Linked DNA regions of Pelodiscus sinensis. The protein of the gene in region 2 purifies or fractionates together with the protein of the main gene of each other region. This does not show direct contact. Links are inferred from orthologs where the notes say so. Each region holds a gene or a part of one and is shown on either strand. Other genes may lie near its edges. The genes, in order: cyclic AMP-dependent transcription factor ATF-7, JUN, JDP2 and NFE2L2.

Region 1 (7,071 bases), on a different chromosome or scaffold from region 2:
ACTCCGTCTCAGACCCCACCCCCTCTCCTGCACCTCAGGCCCCAACCCCGAGCTCCATCCCAGCCCCTGACCACTTACTAAAATCATGGAGTGCCCCCCTCCCATCAAAAATGATTGCCCACCTCTGCTTTAGGTGCTGTACAAATAGAACAAGAAGGCAATCCCTGCCCCAAAGACCTTACAATCTAAATGTACCCCCATCCATAGGAACAGCACCACTTTCCAGTCAGTTGGGACTGTCCGCCAAGGACATCCTCAGTGTTAACCTTTGGGGGGACCAGATAGCAAGTATGAAAAAAGGGACACTTTGGGGGGGGGGGTAATAACTGCATATACAAGACAGAGGCCCTAATAAGAGGAAGGCCCTGATAATATTGGGACATACGGGCAGCCTAGTTAACCGTAAGCGTCTACTGACAACTTCCCATTCCGTCCGCTCCCTCGTCATGAGAGCCTAGGGAAGGCTGCCGTGAGCCCAAAGAGCCTGCTGCGGCTTTCCCGCTGGAGCGCACAGAAAGCAGGCACGTCATTTGAATAGTGGCATGGCTCGTTAATTTAATTAATGGAAACAATAGCAAGTAGCATGTTGCCCACTTACCTAGCATTTGCTTAATCTTCCCCAATTTGGAGCCTATTATTTCTGATGACACTTTGTGTTGTTAACAAGGCAATTACTGCTTTATAGGCAGTGCAGCTCACCCCCACCGTTCGGCTGGGCATGGCGTGGCTCTCCCCTTGTGTAACTACCTGACACCAAAGCCCAAGGCCATCAGGCAGCTGTGGGCTGTGATCAATCGTAGACTGAAGCAGTGGACGGGGAGGGAAGAGGCGCAAATATTTCACGTTTCCAACTGGGTCAGCAGGCCCCTTTGGCGGAGGATCTGATGTTTGGGAACCAAAGGAAGGGCCTTTGTTTTTTCTGGGCTGGAGCACAGCGCATGGAGGGTTGTTTGGGTTGGCAAGGCCTCCCCACTTCACAGGGCTCCCCTCTTCTCCTGTATCTAAGGCACTTTTGCTTTGCTTTTTTTGGTTTCGCTTCCCCCTCCTCTCCTTCATGTTAGCATCCGCTTGACCACATCGGGATACGAAATACCCATGTTATTTCAAACCCTTCCTCCCAGGCACGTGGGATCCTATGGCACTTGTGCAAACCTCAGGGCATCCTGGAGGAGTTCCAGGCCAGGCGATTCCATTCTGGCTCCCTCAAGGTATCAGCTGAGTAAATCAGCCTGCACGTTCCTGTCCTCACCTGTTGTGCTGGGTGGCTGGCACTAAATCGTATGTTAACATTTCCCCGCAGGGCCTTTCTGGACTAGAAAGTTGAAGTGGTAAGTTTGGCTGGCCTACTGGGGCTAGCCGTACCTCTGAGCGAGGAGATTGAAGCTGGGTCCCCACCTGTTTGAGCTAAGAGCTAGCTGTGTTAGCCAAGACAGTAGCAAGCTAGTCAACCTCTGCTAGTGGCCCAGGCACCCTAAAGGGGGGAGGGGAGTGGCTGTGGCTTACAGTGACACCCACCAAACGATTCCTATTCGCTGAGCTCCATGACTGGTAAACAGGACATTGGATCTGGGTAAAGTTCCCAATTTAGGCTCAGATGTGGCCTTAGGCAAGTCATTAACTACCCTAAGTTTTAGTCCCCCCGTCCCCCTCCGCCCCATATGTTGAATGAATGGAAATACTTTGTTCCCTGGCAGGAAGGTCCTAGTCCATGCGTAAGGTTCCTAGGCTCTTCTACAAGACAAGTTACAATATAGTCATGCTTAAAAACCACTGCACTAAAGAACCTAGTTAAAGGTGTAACATCGAACACTGAGACATGGCCCTGTCACACGGTGGGTACGCCCAGCCCCCTCAACACACGTTCCACCCCACAAGTGTCAGTCCTGACTGCCCCCGGGCCTCTCCTACCCCTTCTCCCATAGGAGTCCAGCCTAGTGGTCAAAGACAATAGCAACACCCAGCTCGCGGGGCAATAGGGCCCAGCAGCCTGAGTCAACAGCAACTGCCAGTTCATGGGGCAATAAGGCAGAGCAGGCAACGTCCACAGCCATAGTGACCCCTTGGGGTTTAATGGAGTGGGGGAACCCAGGCCCTCCCCCTCCACCGGGTCCCAGCCCAGGGCCCTGGCAGTGGTGGGTAGGTCCCACCATTAGCTCAGCAGGGAACCCGCCTACAACGCACTGAGCTCTCAGGGATCCAATTCCCCACCCTGGGCTACTTCCTACCCAGTTCACAGCAGGCGGTGGCTTCCCCTTTAGTCCCTTGCGACCTACGGGCTTCTGCAGCCCTTCCCGCTGGCCAGCCTCCATAGCTCAGTCCATCTACAGCCCTCCCGGAGAGGACTGGCCACACACACCCCCTGCCTTCTCCACGGTCCTCCACTGGCCTTTCCACCTGCCCCCCAGCAGGGCTGTGGGATGGGGCGCTCTCGCACAGGTAGGCCTGGTTAACCCTTGCAGGCCCAGTGCAGGGTCCATACATCCCATCCCAGGCCCACGCGACATAATGTTGCACCCTTGGGCGTTTGCACTTGGACACCTACCGTTCCCCACAGGACGGCTGCCATATACCTGCATGGCACAGACTGGTAACCAGAACCATTCCGTCAACAGGACGAATCGGGGCAGCCGCCCCAGGCCCTGTGCTTCTGGGGGCCCTGTGGCCGCAGCCTCAATTGTCCTCTTGATGGGAGGGACCCAGGGGATTACAGGGCCCTGGCATGGTGGCAGCTGGGGTTACCCCCCCACCACACACTCACCCCACAGGCAGCAGGAGATGGGGTTGCCCAGCAGCCTGGCCCGCTCCACCCCGCCCTGTCCCACAGCACACAACACGTTTGCAAAGGATGGTTGACTTAGAACAACCCTTCAGCTCCCTTCCCCGGGTGCCCCATCTCTACTCACCCTGCACTGCCGACATCTGCAACGTCTGGGCCACGGGAAGGAGGCTCTGTCACTGTAACCTCAGCGGGGGGCAATGGGGGGGCTCTGTCACTGTCTGGGAAGGCAATGGGGGGGGCTCTGTCCCTATCCGGGGGGTTGTTGGGGGGCTCTGTCCCTGTCCCTGTCCGGGGGGGCGATGGGGGGGCTCTGTCCCGGGGGGGCAATGGGGGGGAGTGATGGGGGGGCTGTCCCTGTCCGGGGGGCGATGGGTGGGGCTCTATCCCGGGGGGGAAATGGGGGGAGTGATGGGGGGCTGTCCCTGTCCGGGGGAGCGATGGGGGGGCTCTGTCCCTGTCCGGGGGGGTTGTCCCTGTCCAGGGGCGCGATGGGGGGGCTCTGTCCCTGTCCGGGGGGGCTGTCCCTGTATGGGGGGGCGATGGGGGGGGCTCTGTCCCGAGGGGGGCAATGGGGGGGCTGTGTCCCCGGGGGCGATGTGGGGGGAGTGATGGGGGGCTGTCCCTGTCCGGGGGGGCAATGGGGGAGGCTGTGTCCCCGGGGGCGATGTGGGGGGAGTGATGGGGGGCTGTCCCTGTCCGGGGGGGTGATGGGGGGGAGTGATGGGGGGACTCTGTCCCTGTCCGGGGGGGCAATGGGGGGGAGTGATGGGGGGCTCTGTCCCTGTCCGGGGGGGGCAATGGGGGGGGCTGTGTCCCCGGGGGCGATGTGGGGGGAGTGATGGGGGGGCTGTCCCTGTCCGGGGGGGCAATGGGGGGGGCTGTGTCCCCGGGGGGGCAATGGGGGGGGCTGTGTCCCCGGGGGGGATGTGGGGGGAGTGATGGGGGGGCTGTCCCTGGGGGCAATGGGGGGGCTCTGTCCCTGTCCGGGGGGGGCAATGGGGGGGCTGTGTCCCGGGGGGGGCAATGGGGGGGGCTCTGTCCCTGTCCGGGGGGGCCATGGGGGGGCTGTGTCCCCGGGGGCGATGGGCGGGCTCGCTCCACCCCCCGCGCGCCGCCCCTCCGCTGTGTCCCGCATCCCGGGCTGCCGATTGGTTCTTCCTTGTTCCTTGCCCCGCCCCCGGCGGGTCTCGCGAGAGTCTCGCGCGCAGGGAGGGAGGGGGCGCCCAGCGCGAGAGCTCGGGGCGGCTCGAGAGGGACGGAGCGCGCGCCCGATTCCGCCGCCGGCGCGAGGCAGTGGCGCGGACCTGAGGCAGCCCCCGTGTCCCCCCCGGGCCTCGAGGTGAGCGAGGCCCCCGCCGCCCCCGCCCTCCAGGGGCCCGGAGTTGACGCTGAGACCCCCCCTCCGAACTCCCCGAGTTTTCGTGAGAGTCCGGCCCCTCCCGTGAGTGACACGCTCTGCGGCCAATCGGGACGCCGGGGCGCTTGGAGTGACGGGCGCCGCAACCAACCGCGGCCGGGAATGGCCTGGGGCACGCCCCCTCCGGGTGGGCGGGGCTCAGGGTTGCTGGAGATTCCGAGGGGCCCGGGCGGTGGCTGGTGGGGGAGGGGCCAGAGGGGCCCAGCTGAGGACACCGGGGGGGGGGGTCTGGGTGGAAATGTCTGTGGGGGGGCTGGGTTCCGTGCGGGGGGGTCCCCTTATGGGTGCGGGGGGGGCTGTGTGGTTGGGGTGCGGGGGGGGCTGTGTGGTTGGGGTGCGGGGGGGCCCCTTATGGGTGCGGGGGGGGCTGTGTGGTTGGGGTGCGGGGGGGCCCCTTATGGGTGCGGGGGGGGCTGTGTGGTTGGGGTGCGGGGGGGCCCCTTATGGGTGCGGGGGGGTGTGTGGTTGGGGTGCGGGGGGGCCCCTTATGGGTGCGGGGGGGGCTGTGTGGTTGGGGTGCGGGGGGGCCTCTTATGGGTGCGGGGGGGGCTGTGTGGTTGGGGTGCGGGGGGGGCTGTGTGGTTGGGGTGCGGGGGGGCCCCTTATGGGTGCGGGGGGGGCTTTGTGGTTGGGGTGCGGGGGGGCCCCTTATGGGTGCGGGGGGGGCTTTGTGGTTGGGGTGCAGGGGGGCCCCTAATGGGTCGGGGGGGCTTTGTGGCTGGGGTGCGGGGGGGCCCCTTATGGGTGCGGGGGGGGGGCTGTGTAGTTGGGATACGTGGGGCCCCTTATGGGTGTGCGGCTTGTGTGGTTGGGGTGTGAGGGGCCCTAAGCAGCAGCGCCATTCGGGGGGATTAGGGGGTTTTGGTAGGAGTCTTCCTAAAGTTGCTGGGGTAAGGGCTTGGGGCTGCCTGGTAAAAATGGGTGTGTGAGGGAGATTATAGGTTGGGGGGAAGGGCCCCTGGAATTGGTAGTTTGGGGTCCCCCCCAAAAAACCTGATTGGGTGGGGTAACCCCGAGAATACATGTTGTGGGATTCACCGTTTTATAGCCCCCTCCTGAAAAGAGTTTTGGGAGGTGCTGACTATTTTCCCTCCTCCCCCATCCCTTGGCAAATTAAATCAGTCTGAGCAACAGTAGCGTGAAAACTTAATATTTACATTGTACATTATAGCTATTTACATTATAGATACACTGCGTAAAGAATTGTTGCTTCCCGCTGTTGGACTTTGGGAGCTCAAACTTTCTGAGAACTTGTTGAAGCAATGAGGGTTTAATTTGTTACTCCACAATTGTTCCTTTCACTTACATGCTGTGGTATAATAGGTGACTGTTTCATAGCTCTAATTTAGTAGAATCTCACTGGCTAGTTTGTCAAAAGAATTTCATTTTTATTACTAAAATTAATTTGGGGGCCCCACTTCTTCTCCTTAACTTAAAATGGGTTGGGAATCTCTTTTAGGGCAGGGGCTGCTGATCCCTAGAGAAAGTAGTTGGGGGCCACACACAAGTGAGAAGCAAAGTGGGAAGCCCCTGACTCAGAAGGAGAAAGATCCTGCTCACATTCCCTTTGCACACCAGAGCCTAGGGGGGCCCTGGCTAGTAGCTTGGGGGCTGGAGCCACGCGAGCTGGGGGAGGAAGGCACATACGGCTGCCAAGTCTGAGGTTCTCCACACCTGTCCTAAAAGAGAAAGGCCAACAGGTTAGACTTTTCTTACATGAAAATAAAAATACCTGTTGACAGATGTAAAATCAATATAGATTAATCAAATTTAAAATTTTTAAGAGCAGATTCTTCTGTAGTTTACACTCTTTTGAAATTCAGTTGACTACCAATATCATCCTTCCTCTTTCCATTCTCCTAACTGTACCTTTTCTTATGAACTGTCATCTCTATCGTGATTCACCAAGAAGCTATCCTCTGCATATTCAGGCCCCTCTGAAGAGTAAATTTTAGTGGGAATGAGTTAATAAAAATAAAATGGATACTTTTCTCTGGATTCCTCAGAATGTCTTTTCTTATTATTGTGTCTTTTGAGGTATGGACTTCTTCCAGTTTGTTTGGTAAAGCATGAAGCATACTGTAAACCAATAGGTCTGTCCAAAAGAATTACATGGCACTTTACAAACTGGAGAAATATAGTTATTGGCTGTTCACTTAAATATAGTCTCACGTGGTGTGGAATGTTACAGTAATTCTCAACCACCAATTCTGTGAAACAGTGTTTTGATACAAAATTAAGATTAACTTCATCAACTGAACACCAAGGAATTTTTAGAAAGGTACGCTATATTTGCTCATGTTGGAATCATGGTTAATACCCCTTCTCTTTATTTTTAAAGAACTTGTATTTGATCATGATCATAAGAATACATGTTACAGGGGTGGCTGCATGCGGCTCTTTGCTCACAGAAATGCAGCTCTCAGGGTTAGGGCTCATTCAGAGCTCCATGCCCGCTTTGTGCACGTGCCTAAGTTCCTGGAAGGAAAAATGCAGTGGCACCTCCGGTCAGACCCAGGCATTGGGTTAGAATGGGAGGGGCCTGGGGGTGCCTGTCTCTGGGGGAGGGATGTGTGGCTCTTTGCACTACTATCCACAGCTCTTTGGCTCTTAGTGTCTAATTGGCTGGCCACCCCTGACATATTAACTACCATTCTGGCCAACCGTAATCAGTTTTGTAGCTGTAGTTTGACCATCACTGAAGAGTTTGTTTGCTATTGGTGTCTAAAAAGAAGGTTGAACTGATGGAAGTTCCAATCCAGAAATGTAGGTGCAAACTTTGTTGCAGTATGGTTAGTTAACCCTGTATGTCTATCTGCAGTAGCCTTTTTTTTTATAGAGATCATTTGGATCAATTACTTCCAATCCCAGAATC
Region 2 (7,730 bases):
TTCTTGAGACCAAATATAATTCACATAAAGATTATGTGTATGAGAAATTTTAATTTATCCCTCAAAAGGCCATTTAATTATTGAGATAATCTGTTTGCTTCTTGCAGCCCTGTATTGATGGATTACAGAACTCTTGAAATGAAAATCTGTATTATCGTTAGTCAAGGCATCTACCTGCCGCATCAATGGAAATAAACAGTTAATTTCCAGTTCCTTCTCACAAATGGCTCAGTAAGCCCCGGTTTACACTAGGGAATTATTTCAAAATAACTCCCCTTATTTCAAAATAAGGGGCTGGTTATTTTGAAATAACAACTCCTGCTTTCCTCGGGGAATAAGCTTATTTCAAAATAGTTATTTTGGGGGATATTTCAAATTTAGTTATTTCAAAATAATTTCCTATTGTAAACATGCCCTAAGTGTTTTTTCATCTCACTACACTAGTTATTTCATGAGATCAGGAAGGGGCTAAAGAGTGCTAAAGTAATAGCTGATTCAGGAATCTAGTCATCTACCATTCCAAGCTCTCATGGCCATGGAGACTCAAAATCTCTGCACCAATAGGGCAGATTCACCTTTTCTGAAAGTATGTCTACATTGTAAGAGTGAATGTGTCTCCATGTCCAGGTAAATAGCTATGTACATGTTCTGCTCATGCTAGTGCACAAAAATAAGTATGGATTGCGTGACACAGGCAAAGGGTTGGACTAGCCACTGAGTATGGACTCTCAAGGATGGACTTTTTTATGGGCGGCTAACCTGTGTTGCTATCTGTGCCACACCCTTCACATTGCTATGTTTAGCACACTAGCTTGAGCAGAGCTAGTATGTGTCTGTCTATGGGTACGTCTACACAGCAACATTATTTTGAAATAACTAGCGTTTACTCAGCAGGCAGTTATTTCGAAATAATATCGAAATATTGTCAAGCTGGAGGACTTTTTACTCTGACTCCTGTGACACTCATCGTACAAGGAGTAAAGGAAGTCGGAGGAAGTGCTCTATTTCGAAATAAGTGCTGTGTAGATGTTCCAAATTTCAAAATAAGCTATGTAATTGACGTAGGTCAATTTGCGTAACTTATTTTGAGTTAAGCCCTGTTGTGTATATGCACCCTAACAGAACAGCGAGGTACAATCCCAGCTGGAGTGCACACAGACTCTTCAGTTTCATACTACTGAATGAATCTCAGTTTGTCTGCTGGGTGCTAAACCAAGATTCTCAATCTTACACTGAGCAGACAGCCATCATTCATTTCAGATGAATGATATTTAGGCTTGGTTGAAAAAGCAGGAAGAAACAGACAGCCAAGAAACAAAGTCACATTTTCTTTGGTTTCAAAGCTGTCCATGTATACTCAGCATTTATGACCAGCTTGACTGTCTGTTGCTCAATTTCCCAAATACCCTCTAAGTGAGTATCAGTTAACATAATTAATGTTTGATGACTATCTGCCCTAGCAATAGGCCATGGCAGCAACTTGTTCCCAGTGAAACTGGAATGACCTACTTTGACCCCGTCCATTTCTGAAACTCCACCTTTGTGACAGGAAGGAAGTCAAAGCCTGCCTGCAGCAAAGTGGGTGAAAAAACATGAAAAAAAATTCTACACAACAGTATACTAGCAACCCACTCCAATACTCACTGAATCAATGGAAAACTTGTGTTGACAACAGGGCTGTTGGAACAGACCCGAATGGAGCAATAATCTGTTTTTCAGTTCATACACATAAAGTTGACTAAAAAGAGGCCTGAATGGTACATTGACTTCCTTTTTTTTTTTTTTTGGCATTACATCTTAACTTGGGTGTGTAATGTTAATTTGTTAATACCCAAGTAGTTATATACATAAATATAGTGTTTCTGGACAAATTCAAGATTACTGCAATCTTATTTAACACTGTTAAGATTTAGAGCTTATCTACGTGAGGAAAATTGACTGGAATATCTGTTTTGCAATAAATCCCCATCCAAATCCTCTAATTCCAGAATAGACACACCTTTAACGTGCCTTTAGCCCAAACCCTTAGCTATATCTAGGTACCTAATTTCTATAAATTTCAAAGGGACTTAGGCACTTAAAAACCTTTGACAATCTCGGCCTTTCTCTGGTTTAATTTAACAATGGGTTAAGCAAATGCAAACAAGGTGTTCTTATTCTGAAATAAGTGTCCACAAAGGGAATTATTTCAGAATAACTAGTGTTTTAAGCTCACACTCTTCCTTTTACCAGAATAATATCCACTGTAAAAAAAAAACCTTTAAAAATTTGATAATTGTACTTTGACACAAAAGATTACAATAGCATCAGAGCTGGTAGTGAGTAAAATTAAACATTTCCCATTGTTAAACAGACAAATGAAAACTTTGAAATGTATCTTTATGAAATATAAGTTTATTTGTAACATCTTGAGTGTAATTTTGATGAAGCAGGGAGCCGTTAACATTAAATTAAACAATTAGGCTGTGTCTATATTGGCAAAATCTTGCTGCCTGTCTACACTGGCTGGGAGTATCAGCGCAAGAACACTAATGTAATGTACAAAATCAGGGCTCCCGTTCCCGCTCAGGGATAAGTCCTCTTGCACAAGTGTACTTGCGCAAGAGGCCAGTGTAGACGGGCAACATCAATTTCTTGCGCAAGAAAGCCCGATGGCTAAAATGGCCATCAGAGCTTTCTTGCGCAAGAGAGCATCTACACTGGCACGGATGCTTCTGTGCAAAAGCAAATCTTTTGTGCAAAAGCACATGCCAGTATAGATGCTCTCTAGTGCAAATACTTTTAACGGCAAAACTTTTCCGTTAAAAGTATTTGCGCAAAATCATGCCAGTGTAGATGCAGCCTGAGTGTGTCTAGCATCGAACAGGCTGATAACAGATTTCGAGACAAATGTATATGCAATGACACTTCTGATTTGTTAAGCTATTTAACAGTTGGAATTCTGGCTGCATGCTAGCACACATTTTAACTTTTCTGGAACACAGGAATATCTTGGTTACATGTACTATGGCAAGACATAGAGAATAATAGGCAATATATTCAGGTGTGAGTTTAGAATTTCACACTAGGAACTATTACTCCAGATGCTACAAAGTGTACACTTGTTCTCTGTACACCAATTACTTTCCAAAACCGGCAGTACTAGCTCTTTTGCAAGTTAATATACTACTCAAATTCAAGTGGAGGACACTAGAAAAAAAATGTCAAATGGAAAGAAGAAACTGGGAGATCATTTAGAAAACTAATGGACTATGATGTTTACTTCTGCTTTGGGTTTGTATTTCTTTTTAATCCCATTTGAAAATTTAACCAATTGTTATGTCTGGAACAAGAACAAAAAAATCCTAGAATGTTTCCCTTTTTCAAGTACTTGTTTAATCCATGAAATAACAGTCCGTTTTGCATTTAAGACGTGATTTAACAGGATGGCCACATTCTCTTCTGGAGTACACTGGCAAAGTTCCATAGAAGTGCGTCGATTTACACCACCAGATAATTTGATCTACGTAACTTTTATAATTGCTTTACTTGTTAGGAGCGTTGGCCACGTGTTTCTGCTCGGCAGAATATGATATAATAGTCTTCCAGCTTCTTGCCCCGTACCCGTGCGCCGGGTGGTGTTAAGCAGCTGCTCCCTCCCACCTCAGCGGTGGTGACATCTCAGCGCTGCCTTATTTGCAAAGAGCTTTATAGATATTCACAAACGCTGCCTCCCCACAAACTAGTGAGACTGGTCGGGAGGAGGCAGCCCTGTCTGGGTAGCAATGTGCAGCACCTGCCAAGAGCGGCAGAGCATTGGCGGGGGTGGGGTCGCTCCGTGGGAGGGCGAGGACACTTTTTTCCCGCGTTTCCCGGAGCGCTGCCGCATCCCAAGAGGCGCAGCACTTTGCAGAGGGTAAGGTCGCAGGGTGGGGAGAAGCCCTGGCACGTCGCCAGCAGCACGCCCCCGCCAGCGAGGCAGGCGCGGCTCCCGCTTGCCAAAGGAGCCACGTGGGCTCCGCCCCGTCCACGCTCCGCAGGTGCCAGGCGGGAGCTGCCAAGGTTTGAATGCGGGAGGCGGGAGCCCGGAGAGCTCGGGCCCGTAGCAGGACCCCGATCGCGTATCTCAGCCGCTGCTTCCCGAGCAGGCGCCTCCCCTCCCCAAGCGACAGCGGCTGCCCCCGTCGGAGCCAAGCGGCGCTCCCCCGGCGCTGGGCAGCGCTGCCGGCCGGCCCCAGCAGGGAGGGGAAGAATCACGTGCGGCTCAGGGTCATCCCTAAGCTGTCCCCAGCCTACGGCTGCGCCCAGACGTCAGTGCCACCTTAAGGACCGTACCACCCCACGGGGGGGGAGGGGGAGTCAGAATGCAGCCTAAAGCGAGCCCCGACGCGAGGCCCTCGATGCACCCAGCCCCCTGCTGGCAGACTGAACCGTGAAGACTCAAGCAGTAGGATTGATTAAAAACTCACTAGCCACCCCGTGTCCAGGGAGCAGGTCGGTCTGTGTGCCTTTCCCACCCCCCCTCCGTCCACAACTTGGTGCTTGCTGCCTATTAAGGAGGCTCCCCCTTCCCAACCCCGCGCGTCCAAGCGCTCTTCAGCGGGTAACCAGAGATTCAAAAACAATACGTCAGCCCACAATGCCCCGCGGTGAGCACAAGCATTACCTCATCCCACAGTGCCCTGCGAGGGAGCTGAGAAGCTTCTAGGGGTGGGGTGACCATGGAGACCGGCTCCTTTGCAACAGGCCGGGCCAGCGGCCCGCCACCCCCCTGAGGTGCCGCCGCAGCCAATGGGAAGGCCGCGGGGTGACATCATGGGCTATTTTTGGTGGGTTACTGCTCGCTGATAAGTGTTGGGCTGCAGGCCGGGAAAGGGCTCAGAGTGTGCGGCAGGCACCAGGGCAGCAGCAGCAGCACTAGCAGCGGCGGCGGCGCCCAGCGCGAGAGGCGGGCACGGCAGCGCGCGCGGTTAAGTGCCTCGGGTTGCGGCGGGGACCCGGCCAGCGCAGCCGCGGGAAACGTGGTCGCCGCGGCGGGCGGAGCTGGAAGCCGAGACAGCGGCCGCCCGTGGAAAAGTCCTTGGGACAGCTCGGGGGTGCGGCGCGGCGAGCCGCGGCTGGGACAGCCCGCCCCAGGGGCTGCAAGCGCCGGGCGCCCCAGGCACCCTCGCAGCGGGAGAAGAGGGCAGCCGAGAGCCTGGGTTTCTGAGCCTCCCACCCCGCGCGATCCGGAGGGGAACCTGCCTGTCGGACACTTACTCCGGAGTGAAACTAGAGCGAGGCTGGATTTCTGCTCCGTTCCTCGCCGCGCAGCGCCGTCCCAGACACCACAAGAACTTGACACCAGCGCGGCTGCGACTCCGCGCTCAGGCTGACTCGCTTGTTGTGGTTTGAAAAAAGTTGAGTCCTGACCCGCGGAAGAAACGGGGAAAGACCCGCCAGCCGCTGCCCTGGGGGATAAAAAGAAAAAGTAAGACTCGAGCCGATCGTTACTTTTCCAAAGCTTTTTCGTTGTTGAGTTACACCGTTGCCGTTTTGTATTGAAAAAGGTGAACTTGCTTTGAACGGGACTTGGCAAGCAAACGAGTTTCTCCCTGCTTAATTGTAACTGCTTCAAAGACAGTTTGGTGGACTGTGTTCTATGACTGCAAAGATGGAACCTACATTCTACGATGATGCCCTAAATGCTACCTTTGTACAGCCAGAAAGTGGTGGTTATGGATATAATAACCCTAAAGTCCTGAAGCAGAATATGACACTAAATCTGGCTGATCCTGCCAGCAACCTGAAGCCCCACCTCAGGAACAAGAATGCTGATATTCTTACCTCCCCAGATGTTGGTCTCCTGAAGCTGGCATCTCCTGAACTGGAAAGGCTAATCATCCAGTCCAGCAATGGCTTGATCACCACTACTCCCACCCCAACACAGTTTCTGTGTCCCAAAAATGTTACTGATGAGCAAGAAGGGTTTGCTGAAGGTTTTGTGAGAGCTCTGGCAGAGCTACACAATCAGAATACGATGCCCAGTGTTACAACTGCTGCCCAACCAGTTAGCAGTGGTATGACACCTGTTTCATCTATGGCTGGCAACAATGGTTTCAACACCAGTTTGCACAGCGAACCTCCAGTGTATGCTAATCTCAGCAACTTTAACCCTAGCGCACTCAGCACAGCACCTAACTACAATGCAAACAACATGGGCTACCCACCTCAGCATCACATTAATCCACAGATGCCAGTGCAGCATCCCAGGCTCCAAGCTCTGAAAGAAGAACCTCAAACTGTACCTGAAATGCCAGGAGAGACTCCTCCACTGTCCCCCATTGATATGGAGTCACAGGAGAGGATCAAGGCTGAGAGGAAGCGCATGAGAAACAGAATTGCAGCCTCCAAATGCCGGAAAAGGAAGTTGGAAAGGATTGCCAGATTGGAAGAAAAAGTGAAAACTTTGAAAGCCCAGAACTCAGAACTGGCATCCACTGCCAACATGCTCAGAGAACAGGTTGCACAGCTTAAGCAGAAGGTCATGAACCATGTCAACAGTGGGTGCCAACTAATGCTAACACAACAGTTGCAAACATTTTGAAGATACTGACTTGGGGTGAAAAATCTATGATGTTGCAGTAGAGCAACAGAAAAAACAAACCCATAACAAGTGGCAGATTCATAAAGCTAATGGTAAAGGCTTGAGAGGCATTGAGTCCTGCTTGCACCCCACAAAGTACATGTGTGGAAAGACTGGCGAGCCTTCAACAGAGCTAGTAGCAAAACAGCACCACTCTGAGAAGTGCTGTTCCTGCTCAGATGATACATCAGATCTTTGTTTAATATTGACCAAGACCTGCATGGACCTAACATTCGATGATCATTCAGTATTAAAGGTTAAACTGCAATAGAGACTGTAGGTTGCTTTCTGTAATACTCTTAAAGAAAACACAAATGGGAGGGAGGTTTGTGGGAGGCTGATAAAAACAAATATACTGCCTGCCTTCAAGTAAATTGTGTATGTACATTTTTTTTATTTTATGAAAGCTGATTAATGTCAATAAACAACTTCATGACTTTGTAAATTATTTTTATGTTTGTGTTCTGTCCAGTAATGTTTGTAAATGAGGGTTTTTGAGCACTCTGAATTTACCATTTGTAATAAAGTATATAATTTTTTATGTTTCTGAAAAAAGTCCAGAAAGGTTCTATTATATTTAAGAAAATATAAAAGCATTAATAATGCATTTCCTTCCCCTCTTCCCTCCCTCCCCCTCCTTTTTTACCAGTACCTAAATCAGGACTCGTATCACACATGCTGAACTCTCAGTGGTAGAGAATGTTTAACTTATACTGTAACAAGAAGACACGTTCTGGAGAATGTGTTCAAGTGAAAAGATAAACCATACCCTGTAACATGAACAGCAAATAATGTATGTATTTTAAGTGTTTTATGGATTTAGTTCAGATTGGCTTGCCTGTCATAATCCCATATCACAATATAGACAATAGCTTTAAAAATTAAGCAGTTTGGGGGGGTTTGCTATTTGCATCAACTTGCCCTGTCCTATACTAGTCTGAACTGTAACTATTTCATATTACTTATTAAAATAATATCCCCAACACCATATTTTAGGTAGGAAATTTAACAAAAAGGTATCCTTCAGTACTGTCTAATTATTCAGAAATAAGAGGTGGTCTTTGTTCATGAATACTTGCTGTCACAATAAAATTCTGTAATCCCTTTCCCTATGTTGAAATCTTTA
Region 3 (7,411 bases), on a different chromosome or scaffold from region 2:
TGCCAGTGAGTGGGATAGGGATGGGGTACAGAAGGGGGAGAAGTTAGAAGGTCTGGGTGGGAGGTAGGGTGCAGAAGCAGGCTGGAAGTAGGGTATCTGGCTAGGGGGAGGGAGCAGGAGCAAGGGAGGGTGTAGTGTGTGACCAAGAGAGACGGTGCAAGGAGCAGGTGGGGGTAGGTATCTGGCCAGGGGGTGGGTGCAGGAGCAGGCTGGGAGTAGGATGTCTGGTCAGGAAGGTTCTTGGGGTAGGGTGATTGGCCAGGGGCAGGGAGATGGGGGCAGGGAGTGCCTGGGGATAAAGTTGGGGGTCAGAGTGGCTGAGGGGGTTCAGGGAAATGAGGGGCAGGGTGCTACTAGGAATAGGGCTGGGGTAAGGTGGCTGGGTGGGAGTTCAGGAAAATGGAGGGTAGGGTGTCCTTGGGGGAAGGGGCAGGGAGGTGTGACAAAGTGGTGGGGGGTGGCCCCAGACTGTCCAGCACTGGTGGGGGTGGGGTCCGGGTTGAGTTTGCTTTTTTCACCACCCCCTTCCACCTCCACGTGTCTTCGGAGCTGGAAGCTGGAGCTGCAGTTTTGTGGCTGCATGGGCTCCCTCCTGTGTGGGGGTGGAGAGGCTGAGCTTGAGCTGTGGACTACCTGGGAGGCGGCCACCGACCACTTGTCGTCTGGGGACTGCACTTTGAGAACCACTGCCCTAGAGCAAACTCATACTTCCTCTCTGTAAGTAGTCCAAGTGTCACTACATGGGACAATGAACCACACCCACCAGGTGTCTAGGTTACATAAGCAGCTCTGATTGGAAAACACAAGCCCTGCTCCAGGGAATTTACAGTCTAAATGTGAATTGTGACAGGAGCAAAGGTGATACTCAAAGCAACAAGGTGAGGACATAGGCATGAGAATTATGGGTGCTGCAGAACCCCCACATTTTACAGGAGTTCTGGCTACCAGCTCCATGCATAGGGTCCTGGCTGCTGGCCTCGTGCCTGGCTCCAGCCCTGGCCTTAACTTCTGCTCCCTTTCCTCTGCCTGGGTCCCTTCCTCCCAGAGAGATAGCCCTGTTCCTGGCCCCAGTGCTAGGGGAATGGCTGGTGGTAGACACTGGGTAAGGGGGCTTTCAGCACCCTCGTGACTAAAAATGTTCCAGTGCCACTGGATGAAAAAGGATAAAGATTACAAGAATTCGATCATACCATTACTTTTTCCCAGAAAATGCATACCTTGGTGGTTCTGTGAATGTACTTACAAGGAAGATAAAATATGTGAAAATAACTGATTCCCTTATTGAAGGTCTCGCAGACCAGATGAATTAACCCCCACTTAATAGCATCAGTTTTACCTTTCCAAAGTACTGGGAGCAAATTACCTTCTATTAAAATTGCTTTGTTGACTGTAGGGTCTCTCTATTTAGAACTTTCCATTAAGTATACTTAATATATTTTCCTGTCTATTGTACAGGCAGTCCCCAGGTTACGTACAAGATAGGGATGGTAGGTTTGTTCTTAAGTTGAATTTGTATGTAAGTCGGAACTGGTACATATTGTAGGGGAAACTCTAGCCAAACATTTCTCCAGAGCTCAGTTTTATTCTCCCACACCTCACTTCCCTCAGTCCTTTATTCTCAAGCTGAGGTATCTGCTGAGAAAAGCCACTCTGCGTCTCCCTGGTCTGCTGTGGGGGAGGGGGCACAGCTAGTGCGGGGTTGCCTCACCCCGTTTGTAAGTAGGGTTCCGATGTAAGTCGGATCCATGTAACCCGGGGACTGCCTGTACTGCCTCATTTTCATATCCACTTCCTTTATCCTTCCATATAATCTGTATAGCACAAAAATACATGAATGTGATTCCAGTATTTTGTTGACACAAATAATAAATGTATAGTTTCAAAGTATCATCTGTTCACTGTATTTTGTGTTATGGTATTTTTTTATTGTTCCCAACCTCTTGCGGAGCCATTGTTGACTCTGACAAATGTTCAGTTTTCTTTGTCCATATAAGTGTTTTCCTTGCAATTGCACAGAAAAATGTGCTTGTGTACATAGGAAGAAGTTAGACCTTTTTTCAGGCTCTCTGTACTCCCTCCTGAACCCCTGCCTCCTCACAATTCTCTCCCAGATCCTGTATCCTGCTCCTACACCTCTCTTCCAGATCAGAATCCTCTCCTGCACCCTATCCCCTGCCCTAGGTCACAACCTAGACCCCATCCAATTCCTGCATCCCAATACCTGTCCCCAAGAGGGCAGCCCTTGACAACTTACCAAATTCATGGAGTGACCTCACCCCATCTCAAAAAAGATATGCTGGCATTAGAAAAGGTTCAGAGAAGGGCAACTAAAATGATTAAGGGTTTGGAACGGGTCCCATATGAGGAGAGATTAAAGAGACTGGGACTTTTCAGCTTGGAAAAGAGGAGACTAAGAGGAGATATGATAGAGGTATATAAAATCATGAGTGGTGTGGAGAAAGTGAATAAGGAAAAGTTATTTACTTGTTCCCTTAATATAAGAACCAAATGAAATTAATGGGCAGCAGGTTAAAAACAAATAAAAGGAAGTTCTTTTTCACACAGCGCACAGCCAATCTGTTGAATTCCTTGCCTGAGGAGGCTGTGAAGGCTAGGACTGTAACAGGGTTTAAAAGAGAACTAGATAAATTCATGGAGGTTAAGTCCATAAATGGCTATTAGCCAGTATGGGTAAGGAATGGTGTCCCCAGCCTCTGTTTGCCAGAGGGTGAAGATGGATGGCAGGAGAGAGATCGCTTGATCATTACCTGTTCGATTCACTCCCTCTGGGACAGCTGGGATTGGCCACTGTCAGCAGACAGGGTTCTGGGCTGGATGGACCTTTGGTCTGACCCAGTATGGCCATTCTTCTGTTCTTACGTTCTTATAAAAAGTTGTCTACCTCTGGGCTAGAAGATAGTGAATGTGTGTATGAGACAATCTTTCAGTTTAGACTTTTGTACCCATTATGGAAAAAAAATCTGAGAATCCCTAATGTGTCTCAATAAAAGCTTTGAGAGCAGTACCAGAAAGTGGAAGTGAATGCACATTCAGTTCAGTTTGTGGAACAGTGGTGTAATATGATCTCTGTAGTTTGCCCTGCTTAGAGGACATGATCTCTTAGGTTTAGTCTCAGGCAGGGGGAATTACATTGTGCAGACTGAAGGGATGAACTCAGGAGGTCCTCATCAAAGAAAAAGATGTATCTGAGTGGAAGATAGGACTTTTGGCCATTAGAGCTGTTTGGATATCTAGAATCAGTGACAAGTCCACCATGCTCCTGAAGCCTGATTATTGTGGTCTTAAAACCTAATATGACCTGGCAAATGTGAGTGAGATAGGTGACAAATGTCTCAGGGGAGGAAGGAGGTGGGTCAAATAATTGTGTCTACATTATCTAGAAGACCCTAGCACTCTTTTCTGCCTGCTACTTTGTCTGCTTTGGATATAGTGTAAGAGGAGGAGAGTAGCGTATGTGTGGGTATGTACATATGGAGGTACAGTATTCCATGAGATCCAGATGATAGAGAAGGGTGATCAGTTAAGGTTCCTTCCTGTCCTACAATTTTGTGATGACAGCTGTTGGATGGAGGTAGCCTTAAACGTCCGTCTCTTCATCTATCTCAAGAGTTCTGGATGAAGGAGAGAAGGGCACAAAACTGTTGATGACCCTTTGTATGTGTATGGCAAAGGAGCCTACACAGGCTCCACCTCAGATGTGAATGATGGTGAAGCTAGAGAGCAAGGCAAAGCTCACTGTGTTCTTAGATGTGGGGGGGGGGGGTCTCCTTGCAGCCCTCCTATTCCTACCTTTCTCTCCTCATTGTCTGGCCCTGGCATGTAGGTGGGATACGGTCTCTTCAGCTGTCCCATCTGTTTCTCAGATCTCTCCCTCCCTCCCAGAGGTAGGAATGAGCAGTGGGAGATCTGGAGCACCCTGTCCTGCCCCCCTGATGGGGTGGAGAGGCTGGAACATGGTGCAACTCCTTCCTGCCCTGGCTGAGATGTGGATAATGTAGGAGAGGGGGTGAGGCAGGCATTGATTGCCAGCGAGCCTGGCAATTCCTCCCTCTTCGCCTTCCGTTCTCCCAAACCGGGGGCGGAGAAGAGGGCGCTGCATGGGGAGAGCGCCGGCCGTGTGCGCTGCGCCTCTCTCACGCTGTGGAGCTGACTCCCCAGCCCTGCTCCGATCTACAGCTCAAAGGGGTAGCGGAGTGTGCGCAACATGCGGCCGGCTCCTCTATTCCCCCCAGCCTCCTGACTGGGATGCACGGCGTGAGGAGGAGGAGGAGGAGGAGGTATGTGTCATGCCACCCCCGGATGTAGGGCGCGGAGGAGAAGAGTTCATGCAGCTGAGCCCTCCTGGCCCGGGTGCAGGGCGAAGGAGGCCGCCAGGGGTGTGCGGCACGGCACGCTCTCGCTCCCGGGGATGTGCAGCGCGGTGAACGGGCGGAGGGAGCTGGAGGTCACTGTCTCTAGAGCTGGTCCCACCCCCGGCCTGCGCTCTCCTCCCCTGCGGTCCCCTCCTCTCCACCCTCCCTGACGTCTGGAGCTGGCAGCCCGGCCGGTTCCGCATTCCCGACCCCTCCCCGCAGCCCAGGGGCCGCTATATAACCGGGGCTGATGCAACCCACCCAGCCGCCCGCCACAGCTTGCGGGAAGGACGCACCGGGGCAGCGACGGGGGGCGGCGGCTGTGGCGGCGGCGGCTGCTGGCCAGGCGCCCCGGTGGCGGCAGCTGCTCCGGCTTCTCCCGGGACCGGACTCGGCAGGACGGGCCTGGGGACAGGGGCAGAGCACCGGAGCCAGGCGGCAGCGGAGGGGCTGAGCGTGTCGCCTGTCTCCGGCTCCTACAGCCGGGCCCCGGGGGCACGTCGGCCGCCTTCTCCCTCTGCACGGTGGGTCTGGGCGGAGCGGGGAGTGTGGGGCGGACGGGGGGCTCGGTGCGGGGCCGGGAGGCCGCGGCAACTCGGTGTGGGGCTGGCAGTGGGACCTGGGGAGTTTCGGAACAGGGGGCCGACTCTCGAGACGGGGCGATGGGTTGGGAAAACCTCCCGGTGTAGCAGCTGGGCCGGGCCGGGATTCGGGAAAGAAACAGGCTAGCTGCAAAGCCAGGCCCGGAACCTGCACCGGCCTGGGTCACGGGAGCCTGGGGGGCTCTGGGCCTCTCCCCCCATCCTCGGCGCGGCGACCGGAGGGGACGTTACTGCCTGTTGCCCCCCGGACTGTGCTGTGCTCTGGGATCTGCCTTGCAGCCCCCGTCCTGCCCGTTCCTCTCACGCACATGCAGGGGGCGCTCAGGGGTCCAGGGTCTTCTTGTCACTGGCATGGGCTGGTGACTGCCTGCATCCCTCCCCGCGGCCAGAGCAGGGCGCCTGCGTGTCCCCCTAATGACCTCAGGGACTGCCTTGCCTGCCTGCCATGCTCCGGAATGTGTGCTGGCCCTGGGAGCTGCTGTGCCATGTCCAGCCACTTCTCACCTCTGTGCTACCACCCATGACTGCACCCTGGGGCTGCTGGTCAGGGAGGGCAGGCTGTCCCTTGTGGAAGGGAAGCTTGAGGCAAAGTGTGGCCCCTATCTCTATCCCACATTGGTTGGTGTGAAGACGCTCTGAAGTGTGTAGGGCCTAGTGCCAGGTACTGATCACTTTTAATTCTGAGAAGCCAACAGTGTGGGGGCTTTACAAGGCCCTGGTCTCAGCAGCCTACAGTCCAGCTGGGCAAGTGAAGGGAAACAACAAAAGGAAAGGGATGGATGGGGGAGGTGAGGCCCAAGCTATGGGTGCTGGAACAATTTGCACAGTTGAGGTTCTGAGAGCCATTGAACCAAAATGTAAACCCAGAATAGGATATAAATAACTGCAAGCTAGGGGTGCAACAGCACCCCTAGTTCCATCACCTATATCCTGCAGCATTAGGTGCTAGGATTTTATGCATGTTTCGGTGTCGGCACAGCTTCTGATAGGTTAAGGAGAGTGGGCTGATAGGATAGGGCTAAGGCTAACAGACCTTAAAACACAAAGATAGAAGCCTCCTGAGGGTTGGCTTCAGAGCCTGCTGTGTACTGTGTTTACCTGCAGCATTTTCCTCTTCAATGCACCTGAATTTTGACTGACATTCTGTTCCCTGTACAAGAAACTCTCACTGATGTCCTGGACACCTAGATGCTGCACAGATGGGCACATCACAAAGGCATAAACAACATGCCTACACTGGACCCATGACAGAGTTCCAGCTCAGGCTGAGGGGAAGGGGCGGGAGAGGCTAAAAATTGCAGTGGAGATGTTCAGGATTGGATTGGAGCACAGGATCTGAAACCCTGCCCGGGGTTGGGTTTCAGAGCCCAGGTTACAGTTTGAGCCCAAATGTCTGTGCTGCAGTTTTTAGGCCTGTAACCAAAGTCAGTTAACCTAGGCTCTGAGACTTGATGCTTTTTTTAGTGCAATGTAGGTGTACCCAAATGAGACCTACAAATGCATAGAGAGTGGAATCAAGGTTAACAAACACTGTATTTTGCCCTAGCGTTATGTTTTTAATGCCTGGCTTTAATGGGTTCCGGTAACAACTCATTTCTGATTGGTGCCATAGTGGGTTTTATTACTTCCTCAGATTTTGTTTTCTAGTTCACCTGTCCACACAGTGAATGTTAAATGCTTGCTGTGTGGGTTAAGAATAAGAAAATCTGAATTCTGGGAGGCCCACTTTGGTTTTGTTACAGGGAGGGTTGCAATGTGTTCTGCTACCTCATGAGTGTGCTTCCTCCTACTTGCTCTCTGTGCCCTGGAAAGGGAGCCCCTGGAGATTCCTTCTGCTCATTCAGTCCCAAGTCCATTTTAGTAGCCAGACATAGAACTGAATGAAAGTCACATTCTTTTGTGCTTTTTCTTTCCAGAAGGCATTATTCTGTTTCAATGTTAGGGAAATAGCTTTGAGAGCAAATTGGGGGAAAGGGAGAAATATTGAGAGACACACACACATTATGTTTCCATTTTGCTTTTAATGAAGGCCCTGTGGAGGTGTATTTGAAAACACAGGCCCTCCTATGCCTTCAAGGAGGGTGAGAACACTCTCTTGGCTGGTTCCAGGGCCATATGCAGTGTATGGTGGGCCAATGAAATGGGGCCTGGCTCATTCTTTTGCTTGTCTTGGCAGCCTGCTTCATAGCTTGTATTACCAGCTCTGGAACGCAACCACTGCCAAACTCTGTGTGTGTGTGTGTGTGTGTGTGTGTGTGCGCGCGCACGTGTTGAGTGTGCATGATCGCTGAAAGCACAGAAGAGACAAATGCTTCAGCTACTCAGACTTGGAATTTTTAGCATGTTTCTTGAAACTAGCATGAAAATTTCTATCTGGAGGCCTTTGCCAGAAGCCTGTGTTGGGAATTTGCTAGCTTTTACATGGAGATGTCTGGG
Region 4 (7,964 bases), on a different chromosome or scaffold from region 2:
GGTGCTATTCTTTTACGATACTGAAAAACTCAATAAATGCTATTCAATAAAACTATCATGTTCAAGGAGACAGACTGGAACTGGGAGCAGTGAGAGTCAAAAGGTTTTCTTAGCATTGACAGGTCTTTTCCCCTTTTAAAACTTTGTTTCTCCAGGGCTTCCAACATTCAATCTGGGTTCAGCTGCCAGTGGGGTCATTCTTGGATCAGAGAAAACTGGAATTGACCAGTGAAAGGAAAAAACTGACAACTTTTTTGCTCCTGGTCCTCCATCACAATTGCTGTGATACTGTCATGCAATATTTCTCCTTGAAATCAAGGACATGGTATAACGAGAATGCTTGGTGTATTTTTCTCACAGGCTTGTCTTCCTTGGCACGTAAAGCTGGTCCTATAAAAGATATTACCTTAGCTCGTCTCTCTAAAACCCTGGCACCAATGCAGCTACAATAACACTGCATAGACATACCTCCTCATGCAGTGATAAAACGTATCTATTCTCCATATACATTCCTAATACGTTCATAGACAGTGCAACATGTTCTACCTGAATTTCCATAGCAGAGCAGGTGTATTGCAGATGAACATACCTGGTATATTTAGCAAAAGAGTCATGTAATTAAGACATTCTGATTATAGTTTACATTCTTCAGATGGATGTGTAGTTGTATATAATTACACTACAGGCTTTCTATATTTACAATAAACATGCATCGTAGACATGCTAGTGAGAGAGAGAAGCGAAACATTACATTCTATTTTATGGAGTGATTACAATGACAAATATCTGGTAATAATTAGGAATGTGAATGACTAGTCGCCTATCAGGTACGCAAATGCTTATCGAACAGTTGACACGCTAATCGACTAGTTGCTTCCCCCCCCCCCCACCTTGCTGCCTCTATCAGAAGAGGCGGAGGTGTTTCATAGTGGTAGCATCACATGGAGCCTGCAGACTCCACTGCTGACCCCAGGCTCCATGCAGCTCTGCCACTTTGAAACGCTGTGGTACTGAGAGTCTCCTGCTGTGAGACTTTGAAACACTGTGAGTCTCCTGATGGCTCCAAGCTCCCTGCAGCTCTTTCACCTCAAATGTGGAGGTGCCCTTATCGACTAATCAAATAGCCGATGTAAATTGTATCAACTATTCGATTAGCCAATTAATCTAAATGTAATATCCCTAATAACAGCTTTCATCCAAAACTCATCACACCATCCATTGTCTACAACCAATCCCTAAAATACAACTGCATTTGTTCCAATCCCTCAGACTAAGACAGGATCTCTATCAAGCATTCTTAAAACTCCAATACCCACCTCAAGAAGTGAAGAAACAGATTGATAAAGTGGCTAGCCAGGACAGACCCATCAAAGAAAGCAACATAACATAACATAACATAGACATTACTTACATCCCTCAGCTACAATCTATCCTACATATCATCAAGGATCTACAACCTATCATAAACGACGATCCCTCGCTCTCACAGACCTTGGGAAACAGGCCAGTTCTTGCTTACTGACAGCTCTCCAACCTGAGATAAATACCCACCAAAAACTTCATATGCTACAACAGAAACACTAATCCAGGTACCTATCCTTGCAACAAAGGATTACCAACTCTGCCACATATTTATCCCAGTGACACCATCACAGGACCTCACCACATCAGCTATGCCACCAAAGGCTCATTCTTGTGCACATCTACTGATGTAATATATGCCATCATGTGCCAACAATGCCCCTCTGCCATGTACATCTGACAAACCATCTGTCTATGCAAAAGAATAAATGGACACACATCAGACATTAAGAATGGTAACATACAAAAGCCAGTGGGGGAGCACTTTAACCTGCCTGAACACACAATTTCAGCCTTTCGAGTTGCTATTCTCAGGCAAAACAGACTGCAAGGAGAAACTGCTGACTTGGGAATAATGCAAATTTGGCACATGGACTGATTCTCATGTTACTCTTACATTACACATAAGTAATTTCCCATTCAGGTACTCACACCTTACCACTGTTGGAGATGAGCCACATCCACTCTGATTTAATTAGTACTGATGTCATAGTCCCATCTCTGTGTCCTTTTCCTCCCTCTTTTTTCTCTCTTTTTTTTCTTCAGTGTCTGAGGAGCTGTAGCTCATGAGAGCTTATGCTCTAATACCCTAATACATGTGTTAGTCTTTAAAGTGCCACCAGACTCGTTGTTGCTTTTGCTGAACTAGACTAACACAGCTATCGTTTTAACATCTGACATTGCATACATTCATTTGTATGTTTTGTCCCACCAGAGCAACACTCTTTATTGTAGTAGATGTGAGAGGATTAAATAGCACTGTGAGCCATAGGCATGGGAACTTCGGGAGTGGGAGGGTGCTGCAGTACCCCCAATCTCAAGGTCCCACATGCTGGGGGCTCTGCTGCCAGCTCGCGCCCAAAGGTCCCAGCTCGAGCCCCGTGCACTGGGTGCTCAATTGCCAGCTCCACACCCAGCTTCAGCAGGGGATTCAGACAGGGATAAGGGGTCCCAGTACCACCACTTTTAAAAAATGTGTCCACACCACTGCAGTAAGCTGGATCATTTAGAACAGGAATAAGCACAGGAATAGAGCCATGTTTTCAGCAGGTGCAGAGCAAGGCTGGGTGAGGGGTTATTAGCAGTGTTCTCTTCAATTATATTTATTGACTTTAAAGGAAGCCACACATACACCTAAGACCACCATTAGTTCCACCACTGTGTATGCATTATAGATAGTGGCTTTGACCTGTTATAACTTCCTAACAAATACAACATCTTGCATTTTTACAGTGACTGTTATCCCCAAATGACCACAAATTTAACATAAGATTTATTTTCACCAACTGCTGAAGAGCTCGACCTTCTATGAGGCTACACAACAGGTGTTGAACAGAATACAACAACATTTGAGATTAAGAAGTGAAGAATCCTGTCTCACATTTAAATTTCAGAGGAAATTAAAGCAGGAAAAATGTAATTACCTCAGTCGGAATCTAGCCAGTGCACAAGGATTAATGCACCCATTCTTCTAAAAGTGCTGTGGAATCTTTTAATTATCAAAAGTAGTCAGGATCTCATTTGAAAGATGGCCTCTCTGAAAAAACAGCATCTTCTGCTAGTGCACTGTTTTAGGATTAGTAACAGTGCTATCTACTAAATCTACAAATACTTTCCGAGCTCTGGAGTTTCTCTTAGAGGCCATTCTTCCAAGAACTGAATGTGCATAATTTGTGAGACTTGGTTGTACAACTACAGAGCTAGCATAACAGAACAAGGTAATGTCTTTAAACCCCCAAAAGCTGTGGACTCAACTAAAACAGAGTTTACCTATATCTTCCAATACTTTCTGTGAAAACAGACAATAAAACTGCACCATGCACACTTCTTCATGGAAGTAGGTCCATACATGCATTGATGTGCTGCTTCACATTGCAAGATATGGCCCGGTTCCATAGCTAAACAGCACAGGATGTCTAGAGGTAAGAATAAAATAATGTTGTAAAGTAATAATTCTTTTGTGGGTAGCATGCAGCTAAACAAGGTTAACTTGAGTGGTGGGGAAGGATTGAGGTGAGTCACTCAGAGCACTCCTATATTAGGTATTGGGGGGGAAGGGGAGTCTCAGGAGTGGTGGATGTCAGTTTATATTAAGAGTTTTGAGAAATGTGTTGGAATTTCCATATAGCCTTCCTCTCATTATTAAGCTGCTATATTAGTTACCAACTATAAGTTGGAATGGCTGGGGAAGGTCAGTTAGTATAAAGAGTTGGTCAGCTGGGATGTTGCAGAATCTGTTGGAAAGGCATCTGGTGAATCTGCTGGATTGAGATATGTTGAGATGGGGGAAATGGCTCTGATATGTTGGAATCTGCTGAGATCAGGCAGGCAGGGTTCTGTCAGACTTGGAGATGGGATGAGTTATGATAAATCAGGGAAGACTTAGTTTATTGTGGCAAGATTGACAGGCTGAAAAAGGATCTGATGAGAAACAATGTGGTAGGAATAGAGAGGAATCGGAATTGAATTGGAATAGGTTGAGGAGAGATCTGTTGGAATGAAGAAGAATCTGGGAATAACTGGATAGTTTGTGGGAGCTGATGGACGTGGGTGATTTTCAGGAGAGATGGGGAGGAGAGAGAGAGAGAGAGAAAGAGAGCGTGTGCGCGTGCGCCGGCTTACATACACACAGAGCCAGATGTCCAGTTAGGCACAGTACTCAGGTGCCTTGGGGTGCTGCCCTTCTAAAGTTTACAAAACTTTAAAGTGGTTTACAAATTTCATTTTTTGTTTTTAGAGAAAGCACAAAAGTCAGCTGTAGGCAGGGGCAGGTGCTAATGATGCTGTGCCTAGGAGCATACAACGCAGACATCTGGGCGCGTGTTTGGCAGTGATGGGAGAGGACAGGCTCGGGAAGGGATGGGGCTGGTGGTTTTGGGGAGAGAGGGAAGAAGATGGGGCCGAGGCTCAGGTGTGTGTGGCAGCGATGGGAGAGGACAGGCGAGGGAAGGGATGGTTTATGGCTGGGATGGGGTGGGGAAGCAGAAGACGGGGCACAGGGGCGTGTGGCAGCGAGGGAAGGGGAGAGGGCCGGGACGCTGCTCTCTAGCAGGCCCTGGGGGGACAGGCAGGGGCTCGGACGGGGCCAGGGTGGCTTGGGGCCGGACGGGGATGTGAGGATGGGCGGGGCCGGGCCAGCCCCCGCGCTGCTCCGTGCGGCCGCCGTTGCCGAAGTTGCCGGGGCACTGGGACAAGGGCCGCCTCCCCGGCTGCCGCGGCCGTGAGTGGCTGGGGCCGGGCGGGGCGGGGCGGGAGGCGGCTCGCTGTCCCAGCTGTCCGGGGCCGCTCGCTTCACTCCCCCGCCAGCGTCGCAGCGAGCACCGGGACAGGGAGCGAGGGGCGACGCGCCGGCTGCCGCCAGCAGGATGGAGATCGAGGTGCTGCCCGCCCCGCAGGTGAGAGCCGGGCCTGGGCCCCGAGTCCGCCGGGAGGGGCCGCGAGTCCGGGGGCCGCTGGCACGTGTCTCCCCTGGGGCAGCCCCCGCCCCGCCCGGGTGGCGACACGCCGGAGCGGGGGGCTGCTGGTGGCGGGGGGGGGGGGGAGCAGGAGTCGCGGCCCCGCCCCTGCTCTCGAGATCGGCGCGGCTTCCCCTGCTCCGGGAACGTGATGAGTCACGGGACCGGCCGGGCGCCCGGGGGAGGCGGGCCGCGCACGGTTCCTGCCGGCCCCCAGGCCAAGGGAGCAGCCTGGCGCGGAGCCCCCTGGGGTCGGTGGCGCGTCAGGGGGACCACGGCCCGGGGGTTCTTACGCCAAACTAGTGTCCTCTGCTGCGAGCTTGGGACTTACCCTTTGGTGACTCAGTTTCCCCATCTGCACCATGTCACAGCCCCTTGGAAGAGGCCTGAAATGTGATGTGAGATGATGCCAGTAACAGCCACCCTGGTTTTAACCAGGTCTGTGGTGCCAGCCAATCTTACCAGCTGCCTCAAGGGCAAAAGGCCATGGGAAGGTCAGGAACAATGAGGCTGGCCTCCCAGAGAGGTAGACTAGATACTCTTGATTTCCTGAAAATCTATTGACTGAGGAAGTGGGGGTGTGAACAAAATGTCTAGGCCCTGGGTGTAAATAAAATGTATGGCTTTCAGTTTTAGCTGTAAGGAGTAGTAGCCCTAGCAAACATTATCTACACTCAACAAATTTAAATAAGTCTGCCTTGGAAATCTTAACCAGATATCATTGTACAGGCAGAAACTCTCTAGTCCAGGGTTCTGATCTGTGGTCTGGCAGGGCCATTGATATTGCTGAAACAAAGATCCCCAACAGCTGCGGGGCAGGACCTGGGAACAGGGCTGCAGGGCCAGTGGCCGGGAGAGCCAAGAGTCAGGTAGCTGGGGCTAACAGTGGAACCAGCCTGGTGGCAGGGAGCCCAGTGACCAGGGCTGGAACAGAGCGAAGCCTGGAGTGCGAAGCCTGGAGTGGAGCCCAGCCAGTTCTGATAGATCCTGGGAGAGCCTGGACTCTGTCAGCAGAGGGCCTGGAATTGACATCCCCTGGTCAGCACCTCTACTACACATATTGTTTCAGCATCCCTGGTGGCTCCGGAGACCCCCTGGATCTGTGTGATTTAGTCCTCATTAAACATGCCACTGCATTTAAATTTTAAGGCCCCACATCTAATTTCTTATTTGGATACATTATCCTTGTGTGGATGGCTTTTGGCTTTAGTTAAAAGTTTATCGTCTGTCACAATTTCCCTAAAAGGGCCCTTTCTGCTCGATAGCGTGAGATCCCTAGTGTTCTGAGCCAGGAACAAGTTGGAGCTGTTACACAATCATTTATTTCCCTGGGGCTGTTATGTTTTGGATTTAGCCTTTTGGTGCAGCTTCAAAATGTGTAAACCAGCATATATGGAGGGTATAATCTCTGAATTATCAGAACATAAATTTTAAATATTAAACATTCTTTCAACTTTTTTTCTGATAGTTTCTTTATCATGTTTCTGCATAAAATATATGTAAAGTTAAGCAGTTTCATTTCATAACAAGTCTCTTCAGGGGCATATAATGACATTCTTTTTCATAGTCTTGTGCTATCAGTTGTATCAATTGTCTAAAAGCAGAAGAAATTATCCTAAGTTATTTCACTCTTTTATTTAAAAAATGCATTTTTTAAAGGGTGAAGGAATAGTTGAGAACTAAACCAGTTTACTCTTCAATTTTAGTTTACAGATGTTTTGTGTTCATTTCTCCCCCCCCCCCCTTCTTGTTTATAGGGAAATACAAACTTTTTACTCCTAAATTTATTACATGTATGTATTCCAAATGTTATGTCCATTGTTTAGGTTCATTCTGATCTGGATCACAGACTTAAGAGAAGCTTAGATAGCTGTTTCTCAGGGGCTAGATATCCCACCAGATTAATTTGAGGCAGTGGTTCTCAGTCAGGCATATGTGTACCCCTGGAGGTACACAGAGGTCTTCTAGGAGATACATCAACACAGCTACATATTTGCCTAGTTTTACAGCAGGTTGCATAAAAAGCACTCGCAGAATCAGTACAAACTGAAATTTTATACAATGTCTTGTTTATAGACCGCTATATACAATACATTAAGATGTAAGTATAACATTTATATCCCAATTGATTTATTTTATAATTATATGGTAAAAATGAGAAAATGAGTGGTTTTTTTTTCAGTAATAGTGTGCTGTGACACTTTTGTATTTTTATGTCTGATTTTTTTAAGTGACATGAAACGTAGGGGTACGTAAAACAAATCAGACACTTGAAAGGGCTACTGTAGTCTGAAAAGGCTGAGAGCGAGTATTTTAGGGGACAGCATCCACTCTTAAAGTTTCAGCTACACCTTTCTGGATGTATCAAACACATCTACCTCCCCACTCTTGAGATGTGTCCCTCTTTGCAATATTGCTTCTTGTATCTCTGTTCTTAAAAAAGTTCCTCTTGGGCCTTCATCATTTTTTAGCTTCACTACTACTATTGCCTCATGTCTGGCCTCCCCTCTTGACACCCATTCATTCCTTGCAAAATGTTGCTGCTAAAGTAATTTTCTTGGTTTATTTGACTGTGCTAGCTCCCCTCTGAATTCCTACTGGCACCAACTTATGCACTGCATAAAATTCAAGCTTTTTTTGGTCTCATCTTTAAGGGCTTTAGCAACTATGGGCTTATTTACAGTTACAGTGTTGCAGCAGCATGGCTGTATTAGCAGTTACTGAAAACACAACCTATGCCAATGGGAGAGCATGTCCCGTTAGCATGCATGCAAAAGAAGCCCTTTCGTGCTGTCTACATCAGTGGGTAAGTTGGTGTAACTATGTCATTCCAGGGTGTGGATATTCCAGAACCCTGAGCAACATTATACCAGCATAAGTTTGTAGTCCAGAAAAGGCCTATGCCTCAGTGTACTCATTTATTTTCTT

Evidence for each region.
Region 1: the proteins of JUN (region 2) and cyclic AMP-dependent transcription factor ATF-7 purify together in Homo sapiens (affinity purification with mass spectrometry; 3 studies listed by BioGRID and IntAct, with this or other methods). This does not show direct contact. The link is inferred for Pelodiscus sinensis from reciprocal best matches to the Homo sapiens genes JUN and ATF7.
Region 3: the proteins of JUN (region 2) and JDP2 purify together in Homo sapiens (co-immunoprecipitation; 3 studies listed by BioGRID and IntAct, with this or other methods). This does not show direct contact. The link is inferred for Pelodiscus sinensis from reciprocal best matches to the Homo sapiens genes JUN and JDP2.
Region 4: the proteins of JUN (region 2) and NFE2L2 purify together in Homo sapiens (affinity purification with western blotting; 4 studies listed by BioGRID and IntAct, with this or other methods). This does not show direct contact. The link is inferred for Pelodiscus sinensis from reciprocal best matches to the Homo sapiens genes JUN and NFE2L2.

What each region holds. Positions count from the first base shown.
Region 1 is NC_134729.1:544,176-551,246, reverse strand, and holds the start of cyclic AMP-dependent transcription factor ATF-7, read left to right. Parts: upstream 1-3,980; 5' UTR 3,981-4,118; exon of another isoform or gene 4,119-4,220; intron 4,221-7,071. UniProt on the Homo sapiens protein: Stress-responsive chromatin regulator that plays a role in various biological processes including innate immunological memory, adipocyte differentiation or telomerase regulation.
Region 2 is NC_134719.1:14,319,526-14,327,255, reverse strand, and holds JUN (transcription factor Jun), read left to right. Parts: upstream 1-4,712; 5' UTR 4,713-5,620; coding exon 5,621-6,565; 3' UTR 6,566-7,710; downstream 7,711-7,730. UniProt on the Homo sapiens protein: Transcription factor that recognizes and binds to the AP-1 consensus motif 5'-TGA[GC]TCA-3'.
Region 3 is NC_134714.1:43,859,109-43,866,519, reverse strand, and holds the start of JDP2 (jun dimerization protein 2), read left to right. Parts: upstream 1-4,341; 5' UTR 4,342-4,897; intron 4,898-7,411. UniProt on the Homo sapiens protein: Component of the AP-1 transcription factor that represses transactivation mediated by the Jun family of proteins.
Region 4 is NC_134717.1:45,626,077-45,634,040, reverse strand, and holds the start of NFE2L2 (nuclear factor erythroid 2-related factor 2), read left to right. Parts: upstream 1-4,914; 5' UTR 4,915-4,946; coding exon 4,947-4,976; intron 4,977-7,964.